Callithrix jacchus: one gene and its partner. The protein of the gene in region 1 purifies or fractionates together with the protein of each later gene. This does not show direct contact. Links are inferred from orthologs where the notes say so. Each region holds a gene or a part of one and is shown in the gene's direction. Other genes may lie near its edges.

Region 1 (3,749 bases):
TTTTCTTTGTTTCTTTATGGACTGCTCTCAGCCCAGGTGTGCATATGTGGAGGAAGCACACACGTGCCTGCAGAGCCGTCACAGCCTCTGCATCCAGGGGCTGACTTCAACCTGCAGTGGCTGTCCTGATTGGTTAAAACAAAGGAACAAATTACTTCTCCTGATTCACAGGGGAAGTTCCAGGTTGCAGCAGCGGTGAGGAGCTGGCAGTGAGGAGTCGGCGGTGAGGAGTTTGCGCTTGCCCTGCTGAAAACCCCACCGTTTAGGCTGCAGGGTGTGAAACTCTGGCACAGACAATTTGCTGGATGGGAAGGAAAGAAGCAAGGTTGCTCCCCTCCAGGGACAGCAAAGGGCAGCAAAGGGCTCCACTTACTTCAGGAGTGTGGTTCTTGACAGAGCCGGGAGATCAAGGTTGTTGAATCAGGCCGGAAAGTCCTAGTGAACCTTGTGGAGAGGAGGGGTCTGTAACATGGACCTAGAGGGCATTTTTCCTGTAGGAGAAGGAACAGTGGGGATAGGGTGCACTTGCAGAAGGAATGTAGCTCAAGTTCCTGCAGCCCAAAGCAGCTCAGTTTCTTCCGGCCAAAGCCTCTGCGAATTTCCCTGGCATTTCTCCTGTGGGAGCTACCAGGGCAGTGGGACACTTAGCCTCTCTAAAAGTATCTCCACGGCTGTTTGTGTCAAGCGTTTATTCCAAGAGCTTCCCTTTTGCGAAGTACTGTGCCTCACACATTGGCTCAAATTACCCAGGGTCGGTTACAATAAACATTGAGGAGGCCTGTATCTGAGCTCGGAGTTGGGTACCCTCATTTCATTCAATTTCGAGGGTGCTTGACGGGATCTGAAGGACCCTCGGACTTTGGATCAGCACCTCGGACGCCTGGCACTCCTGCTGCACAGGCACGGCAACCGCCTCAGCTGCCAGGCCAGCCTCTGAGCCCTGGGAGGGTCCCAGGGTGCTGCAGGGGAGGTGGGGACCAGAATAAAAGAGCAGTTTCCCCGTCGGTGCCATTATCCGACGCTGGCTCTAGGGCTTGGCCAATCTGTCCAAAGCTGGTACAAGTTTGCTTTGTAAAACAAAAGAAGGGAAAGGGGGAAGGGGACCCTGGCACAGATTTGGCTCCATCTCAGCATAAGCTGGGCCTGCAAGTCCATGGAGACTGAGTCCAGAGGAGCAGTGCTGGGAACGCCCCTCTCGGAAATTAACTCCTCAGGGCACCCGCTCCCCTCCCACGCGCCGCCCCTTTCCTGCCGGAGCCCGGGTCCCGCGGGGGTCACCGCTGTCCACCGCCTCCGGCGGCCGCTGGCTTTGGGTCCCTGCTGCTGGTTCTCGTCCCTCCTCCTCGCATTCTCCTCCTCCTCCGCTCCTCCCGATCCCTCCTCCGCCGCCTGGTCCCTCCTCCTCCCGCCCAGCCTTCCCCACGTCCCGGCCCGCGCGAGCTAGACGTCCGGGCAGCCCCCGCGCCGCGCGGCCGCAGCAGCCTCCGCCCCCCGCACGGTGTGAGAGCCCTCCGCGACCAAGGCGGCTGGAGTCCCGAGCGAGTCCCGGGGGCCGCCGCCGCCCAGCCGGGACGACAACCCACCTCGGCGGCGTCCGCCCGAGTCCCCGCCTCGCCGCCGCCACAGCCACCGCGCACGGCCGCCTGACTCCGTCCAGGACTGATCCAGGAGCGTCGGAGCGAGCTCTTCGGGGAGCAGCGATGCGACCCTCAGGGACGGCAGGGGCCGCGCTCCTGGCTCTGCTGGCTGCGCTCTGCCCAGCGAGTCTGGCTCTGGAGGAAAAGAAAGGTAAGGGCGTGTCTCGCCGGCTCCCGAGCCGCCCCCGGAGCGCGCCCCGGACCCCGCAGCTAGCCCAGCCGCGCACCGGCGCACCGGCTCGGTGCCCGCGCCCCCGCCCGTCCGTTCCTGTTTCCTTGAGATCAGCTGCGCTGCCGGCCGGGACCGCGGGAGGAACGGGACGTTTCGTCCCTGGCCGGGAGAGTCCGCGGCGGGCGGAGGAGGAGACGGGGAGGGCACCGGGCTGCGGGCGGGGCGGAGAACGGCAGCTGGCACCTCCTGCGGTCCCGACCGCTCCCAACTTTTCTCCCTTACTTTCCCGCCTCTCTGCGCGGGATCGGCGTCCGCGGCCCGGTGGGCGCCGGGAGCCGGGGTCCCGCATGGCGCCCCGCGTTGTCCTCCCAGGGCACGGCGGGGTCGGAACGCGCACCCGAGGGGCCAGCGCTGCCCACCCGCAGGGCCGCGCGGTTTAGGGAAGCTGAGGAAGGACCCCGAGAATGCAGCCTCCCCTCGGACCCCGCGGGACAGGCGGCTTCCTGAGCTGACCTCCCGCCTCCGCCCTCCGCGCGAGTCTCACGCTGAAGCCGGCGTGGGTCAGCCTGGCCCCGGCGCCTCTCCGGGTCCCCGCGAGCCTCGTTCCCGGGTGTGGAGTAGCAGCCTTCACCTGGGAGCTGGGAGAACTCGTCTGCCACCACCTGCGGCTCCCGGGAAGGGGTGGTGCTGGCGGCGGTTAGTTTCCTCCTTGGCAAAAGGCAGGTGGGGTCCGACCCGCCCCTTGGGCGCAGACCCCGGCCGGCGGCTCGCCCCGCCCGGCGCGCTCTAGTTCGGCCGGTCCAGGTGTGTCCCGCTGAGGACCCGACCTCCCTCCGGGGCGCCCCCCCCCGAAAGCCCCGGGCTCTGGTTCGGTGGCCATGTCGCGGGTTTTCCACGCCTGCAACCCTTCGGTCGAGCCTGGGCTTCGCGGTGGAACGGGACGCGGCTGTCCGGCCACTCCAGAGGGGGACCGCGGGACTCTTGCGCGGAAGCTCAAGGAGCAGAGCCGGTCCTGGCCACACCACGGTGTTTCAAAACGGGGCTCACAGCAAACTTTCCTTCTCAAAACCCGGGGAGTTTCTTTCTTGGATGTTTCTCTTTGCCGTTTGAAGAATTTGACATTGGGCCAACCAAAATATTAAACCTGTCATACACACACACACACACACACACACCAGATTGATGTCCCTGGTTCACGTGTGCCAAGTCTCCAGACAGAACATGAGCGAGTCTGGCTTCGTGACTACCCTCATAAACCCATCTGACATGGGAAACATGCCTCAGGTTTAATTGCACAATTCCAGCCTTGAGCTGCGCGGGTTCCAGGAGCCAGGCCCGTACTTGCTGTTGATGTCACTGGCATGAGGCGTTGGGGTTTGGTGCCCAGCGCCGTTGTTGGGGGAGGGACAAGGCATAGAACAGTGGTTCCCAGACCTTGCTGCAGTTTAGAATTACCTGGGATTTTTTAAAACCAAAACAGAAACCAGTGTCTGGCTCCCACCCCCAGACATTCTGATTTAATTGACATGGGGCAAGACCTGGATATGGTATTTTTAAAAATGCTTTTCATGTGATCTGTTGGGCAGCCAGGTTTGGGGATCACTGCACGGAAGAAGGATTGTTAAAGTCTCCGGAGAGATTACTTGCCAATGCAAAGAGCTCTTTGAGGACATCTGGAGTTTTAACAATCTTGCCAAATATAGGAAAGAGGGGAAAGGTAGGGTGTGATTCCAATAATAAAGGATTTCTCTTCTCACTGAAGGAACTCTTGGAAAGATTCCTCCTCTGCTGAGCCTACGCGACCCTGTGAGTCAGGTGCCAGCCCTGTCTCTGCGGAAGAGCAGAGACTCTTCTCTTTATTTTAAATTAAACATGCAGAGCACCTCCAAAGCATCACTTTCCTCCCTCCAGCGGTGTTCTTGTTCTTTGATGTTACTAGC
Region 2 (3,649 bases), on another chromosome or scaffold:
TGGATGACATATCATATAGCCACTCTACCATAAAAACCAGAAAGGTAACAGCTGTGGTCTTCACTTTGCATGTTACCTTACATTGTAGAAAATTATAGAACCTATAACAAAGTATCAGTCTCATGCCGTTTCTGAAGTATTGTAGTTACTCTCATACAATATTTTTTTAAAAATCTACATTTTCACAAGTTTTTTAGATTGAACACTCTTAGTATTTGAAGCAAAAATACTTTTTTAGATTTGATTTTTGAAAACAAGTAATTAAGGAATCTGAAAGTGAAATAAGAGAAGGTTTTGTAAGCATCTTAAGCCTATGTTGCATTACACTCATAGAGATATCTTGTGCCAAAGCTTCTGATTGTTTTTTTGTTTTTTTTTTTTTTTGAGATAGAGTCTCAGTCTGTTGCCCAAGTGAGTGTGGTGGTGTGATCTCGGCTCACTGCAACCTCACTGCTTTTACAGTTTGGTGGTTTGGTTTAGGGTCCCTTGTTTGTGGTTTTGCCTTTAACCTTCACTATTAAATATAATTCTTAGTTTGGCTTTTAATAACCATAGTTCATTTTTTCACATCAGGTATGAAAGTATCATTGCCACTCTATGTGAGAACTTAGACTCACTAGATGAGCCAGATGCTCGAGCAGCTATGATTTGGATTGTGGGAGAATATGCTGAAAGAATTGACAATGCAGATGAGTTACTAGAAAGCTTCCTGGAGGGTTTTCACGATGAAAGCACCCAGGTAAGTTCTTATCTTTTGTCTATCCTGGTAGTTTTCTATGTCTTTGGGGAGATTGCAGAGAAAGCAAAGGTTATAGGCAGTTTCTTCTGTGTCTGTATTTATATATAGTGTGTTCATTTTTCTCCCAACAGGGATGTCCCTTTTCGGTTTAACTAATTTTTTTTTTTTAGTTGGCATCTTGCTCTATTGCCAAGGCTGGAGTGCAGTGGCACAATCTTGGCTCACTGCAACCTCTGCCTCCTGGGTTTAAGCAATTCTTCTGCCTCAGCCTCCTGAGTAGCTGTGACTATAGGCATGTATCACCACACCTGGCTAATTTTTGTATTTTTAGTGGAGACAAGGTTTTACCACGTTGGCCAGGCTGGTCCTGAACTCCTGACCTCAAGTGATCCACCTGCCTCGTCCTCCCAAAGTGCTGGAATTTTGGGTATGAGCCACTGTGCCTGGCCAGTTTTACTGATTTTTTTTTTTTTTTTTTTTTTTTTTTTTTTTTTTTTTTAGACAGAGTCTTGCTTAGGTGCCAGGCTGGAGTGCAGCAGTGCGATCTCAGCTCACTGCATCCTCCTCCTCTGGGTTCAAGTGATGCTCTTGCCTCAGCCTCCTGAGTAGCTGGGACTACAGGCATATGCCACCATGCCCAGCTAATTTTTGTGTTTTAGTAGAGACAGGGTTTCACCATGTTGGCCAGGAAGGTCTTGATCTCTTGACCTCGTGATCCACCCACCTCAGCGTCCCAAAGTGCTGGGATTACAGGCGTGAGCCACTACACCTGGCCTTTTTTTTTTTTTTAAACAGAGTTTTGCTCTTGTTGCCCGGGTTGGAGTGCAGTGGCACGATCTTGGCTCACTGCAGCCTCTGCCTCCTAGGTTCAAGTGATTCTCCCTCCTCAGCCTCCCAAGTAACTGGGATTACAGGCACCTGCCATCACACCTGGCTAATTTTTTGTATTTTTAGTAGAGACGGGTTTCACCACATTGGCCAGGCTGGTCTTGAACTCCTGACCTTAGTCGATCTGCCCACCTCGACCTCCAAAGTGCTCGGATTATAGGAGTGGTCCACCGCGCCTGGCCAGTTTTACTGATTTCTAATATTCAAAACCTATGTAACTCAGACCAGTACTTCTCAAACTTTAGTGAGCATTATTAACACCTGGGGGAGCTTTTTAAAGCACAAGTTGCTGGGCTTCAGCCTTAGAGTTTCTGGCTCAGTAGGTCTGAGATGTGCCTAAGTATTTGCATGTCTTACAAGGTCCAGGATGTTGCTGCCGCTACGGCTGGCAATACATAACCACTGGATTAGAGTAGTAGTTAACACTGCTTTTTTATTTTCTGTCACCTAAGAATGACTGCACATTTCTGTTAGTAATAGCTGTGGCTCATTATAGCAGGGATTTTCACTGGGGGCTGTGGTGAGTTTTGAAAAGATTATCTGTGGATGAAAATTCTGAGACTGCTTCTCACTTTCCCTTACCAAAATTAGAGCCATGGGACCGAGAAGCAGATAAATTATTAAGCCCTTTTTGTCTGTCATTTGTACTCAAAGCAAGTAGAAGATCATGTATATGATTTATCATAACAATTTTAATAGATCTAAATCAAGGAGTATGTACAAGTCAATAGCTTTGTGATTTAGCAGCCAACTCCTAATAGTCTGTAATCTGACATAATTCTACTGTCTTGGCTCTTGCCCCAGTATGACAGATGATTCCATAATTCCCCCCAAATTGTAGCTTTTGGTAGAAGTAAATAATAAAAGACTTGCTCAGGAGTCAGTTTTATCACCATCAGTATGTTAACATATACTTTAAGAAATACAGACCAGGCTCAGTTACTCTTGTCTGTAATCCCAGCACTTTGGGAGGCTGATGGCAAGAGAATCGCTTCAAGCCAGGAGTTTGAGACCAGCCCTGGCAACATTGCAAGACTACATCTCTACAAAAAGATACAAAAATTTACAAAAAAAAAAGAGGTTTGGTGGCTTGTACCTGTAGCCCCAGCTACTTGGGAAGCTGAGGCAGAAGGATTGCTTGAGCCCAGGAATTTGAGGCTACAATTCATAAATGTGCATCTGGGCAATAGAGGGAGACCTTGTCTCAAAATAATTAATAATAATAAGAAGAATAATAAACATAGGTAACTATCTGGCTTAGAAACAAGCAGTGTTTTGTGCCAAAAATGCATTTTGAGGATAGGAGGATAGAGTTTTCAGTTGAATACCTTTGTATTTCCCATGAATATTTTTGACTGCTATTGTTGATATTGATGAGTTTTAACCTTTTTTCTCTTAACCAACATCAGAAAGACTCCATAGTAATTCATAGTTGCGGAAACACCACTTTGGAGATGATGGCAGGTAATGATGCCAGTGCCATTCTTTCACTCTATCAAATTATCTGTTTAGGTGCAGCTCACTCTGCTTACTGCCATAGTGAAGCTGTTTCTCAAGAAACCATCAGAAACACAGGAGCTAGTCCAGCAGGTCTTGAGTTTGGCAACACAGGTAAGAAATCTGGAAAAAGTGAGGTGTTGATTTGTCTTGTTTCAAATTGTAGGAAATTATGACTCTTCCTAGGGGGTTCATTTGGGGAAGTTTTATTTGAAGGAAGTATGGCCTTTAGATCCTGTTAAAATGTTAAAACAATGCCTTTTAATGTGTTCAACTGAATTGTAGCTAATTGTATGGCTTTTAAATGAGTTGGCTGACTCCACTTTTCATAATTCATGAAAATTGAACATAGACTCTTAATGAAGGGCATACTTAGATGAAAATGACGTGTTCTGATACTACCAGCTTCTCTGTGACTTCATTTCAGCTTTCAAATGAAAGTACCATGTGGAAATAGGAGATGGCCTCAGCAAAGTTTCATGCATTGTTCTACCTTCCAGAGGGATTGCCTTTCTCTTGGAAATA

The links. Proteins that work in one complex are often made in the same cells at the same time.
Region 2: the proteins of EGFR (region 1) and AP2B1 purify together in Homo sapiens (affinity purification with mass spectrometry; 4 studies listed by BioGRID and IntAct, with this or other methods). This does not show direct contact. The link is inferred for Callithrix jacchus from reciprocal best matches to the Homo sapiens genes EGFR and AP2B1.

What each region holds. Positions count from the first base shown.
Region 1 is NC_133512.1:22,475,027-22,478,775, forward strand, and holds the start of EGFR (epidermal growth factor receptor), read left to right. Parts: upstream 1-1,442; 5' UTR 1,443-1,700; coding exon 1,701-1,788; intron 1,789-3,749. UniProt on the Homo sapiens protein: Receptor tyrosine kinase binding ligands of the EGF family and activating several signaling cascades to convert extracellular cues into appropriate cellular responses.
Region 2 is NC_133506.1:98,757,217-98,760,865, reverse strand, and holds part of AP2B1 (AP-2 complex subunit beta), read left to right. Parts: intron 1-573; coding exon 574-739; intron 740-3,139; coding exon 3,140-3,238; intron 3,239-3,649. UniProt on the Homo sapiens protein: Component of the adaptor protein complex 2 (AP-2). Adaptor protein complexes function in protein transport via transport vesicles in different membrane traffic pathways.